Linked DNA regions of Sus scrofa. The protein of the gene in region 1 interacts with the protein of each later gene in a biochemical or structural test. Links are inferred from orthologs where the notes say so. Each region holds a gene or a part of one and is shown in the gene's direction. Other genes may lie near its edges. The genes, in order: PRMT5, CLNS1A, COPRS and RIOK1.

Region 1 (4,237 bases):
TTCTGACTTTCATCCTTTTGGGGCGCTTACAATGTATTCCCTTATAGCTTAGCCTATCCACACACATTCCGTGTTTCTCAGGACTCTGTCGTCCACTGCGGCGATCTCATTCGGTCTCCTGGCTTCAGTCACTATCTCTCTTCTGGCGATTTGCAAATCTTGTCTGGTTCAGATCACTGTTCATACAACTCTCTATTACACAGCGCCCCCTAGACGTCCAAGTCAGCATTTCCAAACCCCAGCCTCGATTCTCCCTAAACCAGCTTTTATCATTTGTCTCGCTCAAAGAGGCCAGAACTCTGGGCATCACCCCCAGACTTCCCTTTCTCAGACTCCCTGTCAGTCGGTCTCTAAATTCTGTCAAGGCCTCCTGCCTAGGGCCTTTTGTATTGATTCTCTTTTCCGTTCCCCGCTGCCAAGTCCGCAACACCTCTGGGCTTCCTGCCTTCAGGTATTTCTCCTGCCTAGATCTTTTTTTGCTTCATTCCTTTCCTTCTTTTCCATCCCTCTAGCAAGCATGGAAAAGAAAAATGTAGAGACTCTTTCCTGTCTCTGCCAGTCAATTCATAACTTCTCTCCACTGTAATCTCTCACCATGAATTCCTTTATCTTCAGTGGTGTGTGTGTTTCAGTGTTTGCTTTTTGTATTTGAGATACCGAATCACAAGGAATTTGTGGCTGAATTGCCACAATCTGTTTAAAAATATACTAAGGCCCATTCAAAATCCATTTTAAGAGCACCAGCCATTAACTCAGTTTTCTTGGTGCATTTGGATGCACCAAGGCAGGGACACAAGAACCATCTTTGAACTAGGTATTATTAAACGCTGGCATGAAATAGTTGCAGAATGCAATAACATTAAGACCTGAAAATGAGAGCGAGAGAGGACAGCGAAGAAATTTTAAAAGGGGGCATTAAAGCATTGCAGGGGATGCACCAAAAGCGTTAGCCCCACCGAGCCAGCCAGGAGTCGAACCTGGAATCTTCTGATCCGTAGTCAGACGCGTTATCCATTGCGCCACTGGCCCTGAGACGACTTCTTCGTTCTCAATGATGACACTTCAAGCTTATACTGCAGGGTTTCATGGGACGTGTAGTCTCTTACCGGAATTTTACCAGTACATGAAGCATTATGGGAGATCGAAGTTTGTCGAGAACCAGACCCTGAGATTGGTGACTCTTCCGGAGCCGTGCCCTACGTCACTGTGCAGCCTGCGGATTGGCAGGAAGAGCCACTTCCCACCCCTCCTCCACTTGCTCGGGACCCTGGGAGACGCTTTGGTTGTCAGGGAGACTCGTCCCGCCTTCCGGGGGCTTTTTTTCGGCTTTGTGATTGGCTGCCAGTGTCAGGGAATCTCGGCGTGGACTGCGCGAGGGAAAAGATGGCGGCGATGGCGGTCGGCGGTGCCGGTGGAAGCCGCGTGTCCAGCGGGAGGGACCTGAATTGCGTCCCCGAAATAGCTGACACACTGGGGGCTGTGGCCAAGCAGGGGTGAGGGCCTGGACTTCCGCGAACAGAATGCGGGGTCGGAACTCGGGGACTGAGAGGGGCAGACCAGTCATCCCTGGGAAGCAGGGGTGAGGGGGTCGGAGTGGATAAGATTAGGGTGGGAGAAACCGCTAGTCCATGTAGGGAGAAGCCTCCGGCCCTGGAGCGTAAGAGAAAGAGAAAGAAAGACATATTGGGAACGTGTGGTCCCTGAACCCCAAAGTCGAGAGAGTTATCAGGTAAACTCAAAAAGAGGGCGTACGACCTCAAGGGCCCTGGAGAGCGAGGTGCGAGGTTCTTGTCTCAGAGTGGGAGGAAGTGTTATGGGGCTAGGGAGAGGAGAGATGAACCTTGAGGGCTGAAGCCTGGGTAGTACTGGAGCAGATCTGGATATGACAGTCTTGGAAAATCAGTGACAACAGAGTAGAAAGTCCACGTGGCGTGGATTTTCATCTTTTCTCTTTTCTCATCTTTTCCATGGCTCTGTTCTGGGAAGAAATTGAGGCACAACGCAGTGGAAGTGATATTCCCTAAAATGGGCCGAATTCAGCAGCCCATTCGAGTGACTGACTAATGGCAGCTGAAAGGGTTGTGCAGAATGGAGATAGCCTAGTCCAATTGCTTGGATCGCTGGGCACTGCTACTCTCTTTACATGACGATTCTGGGTCTGTCGTGGTTGTAGGTTTGATTTCCTCTGCATGCCTGTCTTCCACCCGCGTTTCAAGAGGGAGTTCACTCAGGAACCTGCTAAGAATCGGCCGGGTCCCCAGACACGATCAGACCTACTGCTGTCAGGAAGGGGTAGGGACCATCCCACATGCCCCTTAATTATTAGAGGCAGTAACAACTTATGTTTTATCAGTGCCTTCTTCCTCTTCCTTTCTTGACCTGGATGTATTTGTTCAACCCTGGGATATGGATAACTCTTGTTCTCTCCTTGCTTACTGCTCAAAGCCTTAGTTTCCTATTCTGCATCAGGCTTTCCTGTATCTGTGATAGAAAAAGCCTTTTGTCTCTCATCTCTACTATTCCCTGTTAAGAAATAGAAATTGAATGCATAAAGTGCTGAACCTCACTCAGTCTTTGTCTTTCTTGGGTTGGGGAGTGCAGACTGGAATACACTAATTGTGGGCAAGCTTTCCCCATGGATTCGTCCAGACTCAAAAGTGGAGAAGATCCGCAGGAACTCTGAGGCGGTAAGACTGACATCTTCACCGAATCTTTCTAAAGATCAGATCTGTAAACAACCTGGATGGGGAGAACAGATTTTTCCCCTCCATAACTTAGTAAATCTGATGTAATGCACTTAAAGCTGTTTGAGGAGTTCCCCTTGTGGCTTAGTGGTTAATGAATCAAACTAGCATCCAGTGGGGGAAAAAACTGTAACTGCAATGTATACATCTAAGGATGACCTGACCCCCTTGCTGTACAGTGGGAAAATAAAAAAAAAAAAAAAAAAAAAAAACTAGCATCCATGAGGATGAGGACAAGGGTTCAGTCCCTGGCCTTGCTCAGCGGGTTAAGGATCCGGCATTGCCGTGAGCTGTGGTGTAGGTTGCAGACATGGCTCAGGTCCTGAGTTGCTGTGGCTGTGGCGTAGGCCGGCGGCTTCAGCTCTGATTGGACCCCCAGCCTGGAAACCTCCATATGCCGTGGGTGCAGCCCTAAAGAGACAAAAAAAAAAAAAAAAAAAAGGTTGTTTGAGTTGCTAGCTCTTAACTTTGCCTCTTGTTCTCCATTCTAGGCTATGTTACAGGAGCTGAATTTTGGGGCCTATTTGGGTCTTCCAGCTTTCCTGCTGCCCCTAAATCAGGAAGATAACACAAACTTGGCAAGAGTTTTGACTAATCACATCCACACTGGCCACCACTCCTCCATGGTATGGCTGAGGGCCTCCTTTCCTGCTGCACATTATGGTAGTCAGGCTGTGCTAAATATCTTCTTTTCCTAGCCATTCAGTAAAGGGTGCATTAGGCAGAATTTAAATGTCAGTCCTGCCTACCCACAACTAAAAGTGGTAAGCAGAGACTTATAAAATACATAGCATATTCTATTATCTCCAGAAACTTATAATAAAGTAAAAGACAGGGCAGATACTTACATAAGGATGTACACGAGATACGTGTGCACATACATAAAATCACAATTGGGAAAAGCATGTAAGGGGATTAAGTTGAAATCTAGATCAAGATCTTTTTATTTATTTATGTTTAAGCTTTTTTTTTTGTCTTTTCAGGGCTGCACCTGTGGCACATGGAGGTTCCCAGGCTAGGAGTCAAATCAGAGCTGTAGCTGCCGGCCTACACCATAGCCACAGCAACGCCACATCTGAGCCGTGTCTGCGACCTACACCACAGCTCATGGCAACATCAGGTCCTTAACCCACTGAGGGAGGCCAGGGATCAAACCCACAATCTTAGCTCTTAGTGGTTCTTAGTCGGATTCGTTTCCCCTGTGCCATGACAGGAACTCCTGGATCAAGATCTTTTTAATTGAAAGAAGCTTCTGGACCCAATGAGTTCAAAATAGAGTTCTAAATAGGGCAGAGAGGTGTTTTCTTGTGGCGCAGTGGGTTAAGAATCTGGTGTTGTCGCTGTTGCGGCTTGGGTTATTGCTGTGGTGGGGTTTGATCCCCAGCCTGGACACTTCCACATGCCAAGGGCACGGCCAAAAATAAATTAATTAATTAATTAAGGTACAGAAGCTATTTATTGTTCATGTGCAGTTCTGGATGCGGGTGCCATTG
Region 2 (3,568 bases), on another chromosome or scaffold:
ATTATAGGGAGGACTCATGGAGAGGCTCGGACTTACTCAGATGAAGAGCCTTTGCAAAAGCAAAGAAGGTGCCTGAAGACATTCCAACTGAGAACACGTGTAAAAAGGCATAGAAACACACGTGACTTAAATTGCATTTCGAATCTGTTTGAATATTTAGCTAGAGGAAAACAGACTGTAACAGAACTGGTCTTAAATTCAATTCCTACTACTGAATTTTCTCATTTTGCGAATATTTGTAAACAATATGCTTTGCATTTTATTCATTTGTAGAAGTGTCCAAGCTGAACCTTTATAAATGTAAGGATATTAAATAAGGATTTAAGTTCTTAAAATAATCTACTTAAAACATGTTTTTCAGCCGCCTGTCTTGGTTAGATGGCTCTGGATTAGGATTCTCACTGGAATACCCCACCATTAGTTTGCATGCAGTATCCAGGGACCTAAATGCCTATCCTCGAGAGCATTTGTATGTTATGGTGAATGCCAAATTTGGAGGTATGTATGGCATGATTTAATCTTAAGCTTCCTCTGGTAGCCTATTATATGTCAAAAAATATTCTTTGATCACAATCAATGTAATATTCAAACCATTGACTTATTTTGGATAATATGTTCTTAAGCAAAATTTCAGCACAGTAAAATAATTTGGACACCGCCTTTTATTTTCTATATACTTGTACTTAGAATTCTGTACTTTTGTGTATTTATGTTTCTTTCTTTCTCTCTCTTTTTTTTTTTTTTTTTTTTTTTGGTCTTTTTGCCATTTCTTGGGCTGCTCCCTTGGCATATGGAGGTTCCCAGGCTAGGGGTTGAATCGGAGCTGTAGGCACTGACCTACACCTTGTCTGCAGGATCCAAGTAATGTGGGATCCAAGCCTTGTCTTCGACCTATACCACAGCTCACAGCAGTGCCGGGTCCTTAACCCACTGAGCAAGGCGGGGGGGGGGGGGGGGGGGGGGGGGGGGGGGGGGGGGGGGGGGGGGGGGGGGGGGGGGGGGGGGGGGCACAGTGAGGCCTAACCCATGGAGCAAGCCAAGGATCAAACCTGTATCTTCATGGATGCTAGTCGGATTCGTTTCCACTGCACCATGATGGGAGCTCCCACTTTTTTTTTTTTTGTCTTTTCTAGGACCGCATCCGAGGCATATGGAGGTTCCCAGGTTAGGGATCTAATCGGAGCTGTAGCCACCGGCCTACGCCAGAGCCACAGCAACCAGGGATCTGAGCCACGTCTGCAGCCTACGCCACAACTCACGGCAAGGCCGGATCCTTAATCCACTGAGCAAGGCCAGGGATCGAACCCAAAACCTCATGGTTCCTAGTCGGATTCGTTAACCACTGAGCCATGACGGGAACGCCCCACTTTTTTTTTTTTTTTTTCTCCAATTTTTTTTTTGTTTTTTTTTGTTTTATTTTTTGGCTACACCCACAGCATGTGGAAATAGGCCATTGTTTGAACCTGTGCCACAGCAGCAACCCAAGCTGCTGCCATGATAGCGCTGGATCCTTAACTCGCTGCACCACAAGTGAACTCTGACCTTCCTTTTCTTACCTGTAAATTGTTGATGGTGAATCACATTAGTAGTTTACAAACTGTTCTTGGGTCCTTGTCTCAAGGTGAAAGGAGAAGTAGACATGACAGTGGAATCTGCTTGTTAGAAGCCTGAGTGTTTGGGTTTCCTTGCCTCCCACCATGACCTTGATGGGGCTTGGAATCCTTCGGACTTACTCAAGTACAATGTAATTAGACCAGAGAAACTCTCCAGAGTCTTTTTTAGCTTCAAAATAACTATGTTCCTATAATTTGAAGGAAAAAAATGCAATATTTTGATATGTCAATAAGCATGCTTTTAGGAATTTGCTTAGGCCTCTGTTTTTAAAAACAAATAAACAACATCATTAAAAAGCTATTTTTTATTTCCTTTCTAGAAGAATTGAAAGAATCTGTTGCTGATGAAGAAGAGGAAGACAGTGATGATGATATTGAACCTATTGCTGAGTTTAGATTTGTGCCTAGTGATAAATCAGCATGTGAGTGTTATTTGGAATTGATTCTTTTCCCTTTAAATACCAAGCATTCCTTCCATCCATATCCACACATACTCCTTTACCTTTATTAGCTCTGTTCTATTGTTTTTTCTTCATTTTAGCATATGGAATATCACTGAGGACCAGATACTTATTAATATAATAAGATTATGAATGAAATGAGAGTATGGCAGGCTCAGGTGTGTTTTGCGAATGAAGAAATCTAGTTATTTTCATGGACTTGGTGCTGTTGTCTGCGAATTTTACTGGAAAAGGACAGAGGACTCCTGGCAATTCTAAAATGAAAGATGCCTGGAAAGCTGAAAAGAGCCCTGCCTGGGAGTTCCTGTCGTGGCACAGCAGAAATGAATCCGATTAGTATCCATGAGGAAGTGGGTTTGATCCCTGACCTCTCTCAGTGGGTTAGGTGTCCGGCATTGCCGTGAACTGTGGTGTAGATCACAGATGTGGCTTGAATCTCGCGTGGCTGTGGCTGTGGCGTAGGCCTGCAGCTGCACCTCCAATTCGCCCCCTAGCCTGGAAACTTCCGTATGCCCTAAAAAGCCAAAAAAAAAAAAAAAAAAAAAAAGAGCCCTGCCTGCTTGCTGGGCTTTACTCTGGTGCCAGTGGTCTGACTAAGACACTGATGCTTTTACTCAGAAAATCCAACCATGCATGAAGAGATCTCAATAATATTTCAAAATGAACTCTTATTATTTTGTGACTTATCTCTTATCAAATACTTTACAAGATTGGTTCGTCTTAGAACTTGGCAGATTGTGTAAATGTTGTGATCCTCGTGTACCTCTTGTCTACTCATTAAATTTATTTGCACTGATGGTTATTTTGTTAAATTTTTATTACACATTGATGAGGGAGAAAATTAATGACAACATTTTAATTCCTTGTCCAGTGGAGGCAATGTTCACTGCAATGTGCGAATGCCAGGCTTTGCATCCAGATCCCGAGGATGAAGATTCAGATGATTACGACGGAGAAGAATATGACGTGGAAGCACATGGTTAGTAGCAAGGATTTTATAAGAGCGTTTCTGTGTGTGTTTCATTTTAAGCATCCGTTTGTGTAAGGATGTGGGATTGTAGTTCTTTATCTCCAGATATCCACATGGTATGGTTTTAAATAAAAGTGAATGGTACAATTCACGTCTAAGCCAAGTCGCAAAGTTTTATGGGATTCCGAAGCTTGAGGACAAAAAATAGAGGGAATTGGAGGAAGAAAATGGAAGGAAGATGATAGATAGGAAAATGGGTAGTCGGGAGGGGCTTTTAAGTTTATGCCGCCACTCCCAGAAAAGAAACCTCCGCCTCCACCACTTGGAACATCTTTAACCTGTGCCATCAAACACTCATTGCCCGTGTAGTTTCTTTTACCCAGAACGGTACTTTGTTTATCTGAGAATGTTTCCCTTTGCCTCCCCAGGGCAGAATGCAGTCACTAGCTTGGTTTAGAGTCCTGTTGCTTGAGGCGCCTACTGTTCTTTTTTTCTTTTTCCCACTGGTCTCATGTGTACCGGTT
Region 3 (2,227 bases), on another chromosome or scaffold:
TGGTAATGAACCCAAATGGTATCCTTGAGGATGTGGGTTTGATTCCTGGCCCCACTTACTGGGTTAAGAATCCGGCATCGCTGTGAGCTGTGGTGTAGGTTGCAGACACAGCTTGGATATGGTGTTGCTCTGGCTGTGCTGTAGGCCGGCATCTGAAGCTCCCATTCAACCCCTGGCCTGGGAACTTACACATGCTGTGGGTGAAGCCCTAAAAAGCCAAAAAAAAAAAAAAAAAAAGTAACAGGGAGTTCCCTCGTGGTCTAGTGGTTATGGATCCAGCATTGTCACTGCTGTGCAGCAGGTTCAGTTGCTGGCCTGGGAACTTCTGCTTGCTGTAGGTGTGGCAGAAAAAAAAAAAGGGAAACAGGACAATAATTTTTAAATAAGGTCTCTGGTGGCTAAAGAGCTCTGAACACTATTTACTGGTGTCCTCTTAGTAAGTCCGGCCAAAATCTCCCAAGCACACGACTCGGCCCTCTCTGGCTTGCCTGTTGTTTTAAGTCCTTTTTCCTCTTGTGGATTTCTTAGCCACTGGAGCCCAGAGCATCCCTAACGATAGTCCTGCCCGTGGTGAGAGCATCCATTCTGAAGAGGAAGGCTTTGCTGTGGATGATGAGGACTCTGATGGGGACCTGAATACATGGGAGCTGTCAGAAGGGGTGTCCGGCTGTCCACCCAAGGAGCAGGCTGCCGACCTTTTTAACGAGGACTGGGACTTGGAGTTGAAAGCAGATCAAGGGAATCCATATGGTAGGTGTGGGGCTCCTGGGGTTCCTAGGCCAGGGTTCCGAGACCCTCCTACGAGATGAGCCCCCTAAAGGCAGCCAGTCTGGAAGAGGGACACATCTAGGAGCTTATTAGCCCGAGAGCTGTAACAGGTCTGAGATTTCTGTGACAGCTTCTCTTTCACATGAAATAATTGGAAAAAAAGGGCAGGTTTGCATTTGATTACTTAGTGTATTGGTTAGTTTTAATGTCAAAACTGCGTTACTCTCCAGATACCTTTGCATGAATCAGGCAGCTGCAGACAGAAGTGCTGTGGTCACCAGTTGCTTCCTCTGCGCTGCTAAGACCCGTGTCTGAGAAGCGGGCTTGTGGGTGGCCTCAGAATGAAGGTGCTTACCGGTCTTCAGCAAAGGACTCTGTGTGTGTTGGCGTGTGTGTACGTGTGTGTGTTCATGCAGTGTGTGTTTAAGCAAAGAAAGTGTGGGCGTCTGTCCCCTAGACATTTTGGGCTCTCCCTTTTCACCCTCCCTCCTTTCCTTTAATCTGGCTTTTAAAACTGCCCACAGATGCCGACGACATCCAGGGTTGCCTTTCTCAAGAGGTCAGACCTTGGGTGTGCTGTGCCCCACAAGGAGACATGATCTATGACCCCAGTTGGCACCACCCGCCTCCACTGATACCCCATTATTCCAAGATGGTCTTTGAAACGGGACAGTTTGATGATGCCGAAGACTGAGGGTGCCGCCCTGGCCTGGTGGGCGGGCGGGCCTTCCAGGTCAAGGTCTCCTTCTTTTGAGGTGAGATGTCACATCCGAGGAGACATTCCCAGTGATCCCCAAGCTGGGCACACAGACTGGTGTTAAGTAAGGTCTGCCGCCCCCTGTTCTGTTGTTGTTGTTGTTGTTTTTAATGAGCTTCTCCCAGGTATGTGTGTGTACGTCTCTGTTGGGAGAGGAGTAGAAAACTTTATAAATAAAGGTAGGAAATGATCAATACGCTTTTGTCTACTTTTTTCTCCTCCTTTTAAATTAGATACTTTTTTTTTTTTTGCTATTTCTTTGGGCCGCTCCCGCGGCATATGGAGGTTCCCGGGCTAGGGGTCTAATCGGAATTGTAGCCACTAGCCTACGCCAGAGCCACAGCAATGCGGGATCCGAGCCGCGTCTGCAACCTACACCACAGCTCACGGCAACGCCGGATCCTTAACCCACTGAGCAAGGCCAGGGACCGAACCCACAACCTCATGGTTCCTAGTCGGATTCGTTAAGCACTGCGCCACAACGGGAACTCCTAAATTAGATACTTCTGACCAAAGGTGTACTTTCTTTTTTTTTAGGGCTGCACCTGTGGCATATGGAGGTTCCCAGGCTAGGGGGTCGAATGGGAGCTGTAGCTGCCAGCCTATGCCACAGCCGCCACAACCCCAGATCCAAGCCGCATCTGTGACCTATACCATAGCTCACAGCAACGCCAGATCCTTAACCCACGGATCGAGGCCAGG
Region 4 (3,568 bases), about 71 Mb from region 1:
CACAACCGTGGCATGCAGAAGTTCCCAGGACAGGGATCGAACCCATGCCGCAGCAGCAACCCTAGCCACTACAGTGACAATGCCGGATCCTTAACCCGTGAGCTACGAGGGACCTCTGAGTCCACTCTTTTGAGTAATTATTGTTCACACTGATCAGCTGAAAAGATCATGGCAAACGTTGTCTGCTGTGTTTCATCGGTTCTAAGGTGCCCACTTTTTCCACAGTTTAATGGCTCTGGAATCGAAATGGGTGTTAGAAGCTGTGGGGTGTTGTGGTTGAGTTGGCAGTGTTTTGCTGTTCTTGGTGCTGCATGGTGGTGCCACTTAAAATCACCGGTGTCTTAGGGTTTATGAAGTAAAAGGATAGAGTTGAGAGGCCCTGTGCTCTCTCCTCAGGGAGGTAGTAGTCTTGGCTGCTGTAGCTGCTGCCAGCTGTTTTCGACGAGGTGTTTTAGAATGTTTGTCTTAGCTTTTCATTTGTTCTTTGCTCTCACAGGCTAAGCACAGCACAGATCCCATGCCCGGAACCTGTCCTGCTAAGAAGCCATGTGCTGGTCATGGGTTTCATTGGAAGAGGCGACACGTGAGTATTGGAAGGCCTAGCAGCTCCTACAGCGCAGCTCAGGGCAACAGCAGATCCTTAACCCCACCGAGCGAGGCCAGGGGTCAGACCCACACCCTCATGGATGCTAGTTGGGTTCGTTACCACTGAGCCACAACGGGAACTCCTGTTGACGGCGTTTCATTTTATTATTTTATTTTATTTTATTTATTTGTGTGTTGTCTTTCTGTCTTTTCTTTAGGGCCGCACCTGCGGCATATAGAGGTTCCCAGGCTAGGGGTCCAGTCGTAGCTTCTCCTGCCGGCCTACACTGAGCTGCGTCTGCGACCTACACCACAGCTCAAGGCAACGCCAGATCCTTAACCCACTGAGCAAGGCCAGGGATCGAACCGGCAGCCTCATGGTTCCCAGTCAGACTCGTCAACCACCGAGTCACGACGGGAACTCCGACAGCGTTTTAGAATGGTGTTTTTATAGTTAAAGAAGTGGTTCGGTGATGAGCTATAGAAGAGAAATGGGCGTAGCGTTTTATCAAATAAGAAAACTTGTTCTGGGTCCGTTTGTCTTAGTCGTTCACCTTGCGTCTGCTCCAGGCCAGCACCACTGTTGAAAAATGTTCCGTTATCAGAATCCAAGGCTCGCGAGCTGTACGTGCAGGTGATCGAGTACATGAGGAGGATGTACCAGGACGCCAGGCTTGTGCACGCGGATCTCAGCGAGTTCAACCTGCTGTGAGTGTGTGTCCCCCGACCTGCCCCGAGGCCTGTCCCGTCCTTGGGGGAAGCAGACAAAGTCCCAGCCCAGGAAGTCACATTCCGCTCTCCGGCTCTAAGATTGGCTCCCGCTCCGTCACAGGGCAGGATGTGTCCCTCGGCTTCGGTGACTTTCGTCACAGAATCCAGCACCCTGATCATTAGCAGAGTGAAAGGACTTTGGACATTTTCTTTCTTTTTTTCTTCTTTTTTTTTAAAATTGAAAATGTAGTGGGTGTCCGGTGTTGTGTGACTTTGTGCCGCACAGCAAAGCGATTCAGTTACATGTGTGTGTGTGTGTGTGTGCATGTCTTCTTTTTCATATGAGGTTTCACCTCTCATTAGTCAGAGTGCCTCTTCTCCTTGCCCACCCTGTTCATTTTATTCGTTCACTTATGAGTTTCCATTGCTCTTAAAATGGAGAATTTTTTAGACACGTGGGGGCAAGCAGTGGTGTGCCCAGGCCGGGGTGCCCGGCCCTCTTGGTGGCATGCAGCCCACTGCTGTTTCTCACGGCGCTGGGCGCCTGACCCGCAGGTACCAGGGTGGAGGCGTGTACGTCATTGACGTTTCCCAGTCCGTGGAGCACGACCACCCGCATGCCTTGGAGTTCTTGAGAAAGGACTGTGCCAACGTCAACGGTGAGTGGAGAGCGGGCTTCTCGGCCAGCTTGCCTCGGCACGGGGCTCTGAACTCTCTTTAGCACTGATTTAGAATCGTTTGGGGCGTTCCCATCGTGGCCCAGCGGAAACGACTCCGACTGGGAACCATGAGGTTTCTGGTTCAATCCCTGGTCTTGCTCAGTGGGTTACGGATCCAGCATTGAGCTGTGAGCTGTGGTGTAGGTCACAGACTCGACGTGGCTCAGATCTGGTATGGCTGTGGCTGTGGTGTAGGCTGGCAGCTGTAGCTCTTATTGGACCCCTAGCCTGGGAAATTCCATATGCTGCAGGTGCAGCCCTAAAAACCAAAAGCAAAAAAAAAAAAAAAAAAAGTTTGCACTGAATTGTTTGGTGCAGTGATACTTACACCATCTGCTGGGAGATGGTGTGCTTTTATCTCTTTGTGCATAAGGGGTCTAGAATAACAACCTTTTCCCTCGCAAAGCTCTCATGAACGTCTCCTCTTGTAGATTTCTTTCTGAAGCACGGGGTGGCTGTGATGACCGTGCGGGAGCTCTTTGAATTTGTCACCGATCCATCAATTACACATGAGAACGTGGATGCTTATCTCTCAAAGGTGAGGCGGGTGGCAAAGGGGAGAAAGGAGTGATTGCCTTTGTGTGGCGTCTCCGAGGGACTCATGACTCGGCACAACTCTTGTTCGTTGTGACAGCTTCCTGAGACCGTGTCCTTCTGACTTACAGGTCGGGGATCAAACAATAGTAAAAAGCCAGTGATAAGCCAAGTTTCTGAACTCGAAACAGGCAAGATACATAGACGGTCAAATGTGCGAATGTTTAGTAAGAAACCTGTTAGCTTTTGGTTATTAATTCCTTTCCCTTGTTTCTCAGAGGCCCTTCTAAGTAGTCAGAGAATTTTTAAAACGGTGGTAAAATATACATACAGGGCACAAAATTTACCCTTGCAACCGTTTTTTCGTGTACAATCCAGGGGCTTCAAGTACATTGCTGTGTAAATATCACCACCATCCATCCACAAAACTTTTTTCCTCTTGTGAAACAGAAACTGTCCCCGTTAAGGCCCCCCCGCCACGCTCCCCAGCCCGGTCCTCACTTTGTGTGTGTGTGACACCTGCTCTGGGCACTTCATATAAGTGGGATCAGATAGTATTTGTCTTTTTTTTGGCCGACTTAGTTCACTGAGCACAGGGTCCTCAAGGTTCCTCCATGGTGTAGCCTGAGATAGGATTTCCTTCCTTTTGAGGGCTGCATAATGTTCCAGTGTGTCCTTGTACCACCCTTGGTGTGCCCATCATCAGTGGGTGGACACGTGGGTGGCTTCCACATTTTGGCCGTTGTGAATAATGCTACCTTGAACATGGGTGTACAAGTACCTCTTCACGACCCTGCTTTCAGTTCTTCTGAATACAGGCTCCAAAGTAGAATTGCGGGATCATGGGGTAAATCTACTTGTAATCCTTTGAGGAACTGCCATGCTCTTTAGCGGCTGCACCATTTAGCACTCTTACCAACAGGCTGCATGGATCCCAGATTCTCTGCATCTGTACATCCTCACCAACACTTGTTTGCTGTTTTTATTTTATTTTATTTTTTCTTTTTGGCCACACTTGT

Evidence for each region.
Region 2: the proteins of PRMT5 (region 1) and CLNS1A form a complex in vitro, tested with the Homo sapiens proteins (5 studies listed by BioGRID and IntAct, with this or other methods). The link is inferred for Sus scrofa from reciprocal best matches to the Homo sapiens genes PRMT5 and CLNS1A.
Region 3: the proteins of PRMT5 (region 1) and COPRS form a complex in vitro, tested with the Homo sapiens proteins (3 studies listed by BioGRID, with this or other methods). The link is inferred for Sus scrofa from reciprocal best matches to the Homo sapiens genes PRMT5 and COPRS.
Region 4: the proteins of PRMT5 (region 1) and RIOK1 are reported together in a solved structure, tested with the Homo sapiens proteins (2 studies listed by BioGRID, with this or other methods). The link is inferred for Sus scrofa from reciprocal best matches to the Homo sapiens genes PRMT5 and RIOK1.

Annotation. Positions count from the first base shown.
Region 1 is NC_010449.5:76,109,627-76,113,863, forward strand, and holds the start of PRMT5 (protein arginine N-methyltransferase 5), read left to right. Parts: upstream 1-1,378; 5' UTR 1,379-1,383; coding exon 1,384-1,493; exon of another isoform or gene 1,494-1,729; intron 1,730-2,173; coding exon 2,174-2,292; intron 2,293-2,601; coding exon 2,602-2,687; intron 2,688-3,235; coding exon 3,236-3,370; intron 3,371-4,216; coding exon 4,217-4,237. UniProt on the Homo sapiens protein: Arginine methyltransferase that can both catalyze the formation of omega-N monomethylarginine (MMA) and symmetrical dimethylarginine (sDMA), with a preference for the formation of MMA.
Region 2 is NC_010451.4:12,103,630-12,107,197, reverse strand, and holds part of CLNS1A (methylosome subunit pICln), read left to right. Parts: intron 1-361; coding exon 362-498; intron 499-1,933; coding exon 1,934-2,035; intron 2,036-2,945; coding exon 2,946-3,053; intron 3,054-3,568. UniProt on the Homo sapiens protein: Involved in both the assembly of spliceosomal snRNPs and the methylation of Sm proteins.
Region 3 is NC_010454.4:43,096,278-43,098,504, forward strand, and holds the end of COPRS (coordinator of PRMT5 and differentiation stimulator), read left to right. Parts: intron 1-528; coding exon 529-750; intron 751-1,292; coding exon 1,293-1,462; 3' UTR 1,463-1,721; downstream 1,722-2,227. UniProt on the Homo sapiens protein: Histone-binding protein required for histone H4 methyltransferase activity of PRMT5.
Region 4 is NC_010449.5:4,764,251-4,767,818, forward strand, and holds part of RIOK1 (serine/threonine-protein kinase RIO1), read left to right. Parts: intron 1-496; coding exon 497-583; intron 584-1,155; coding exon 1,156-1,293; intron 1,294-1,851; coding exon 1,852-1,955; intron 1,956-2,446; coding exon 2,447-2,553; intron 2,554-3,568. UniProt on the Homo sapiens protein: Involved in the final steps of cytoplasmic maturation of the 40S ribosomal subunit. Involved in processing of 18S-E pre-rRNA to the mature 18S rRNA. Required for the recycling of NOB1 and PNO1 from the late 40S precursor.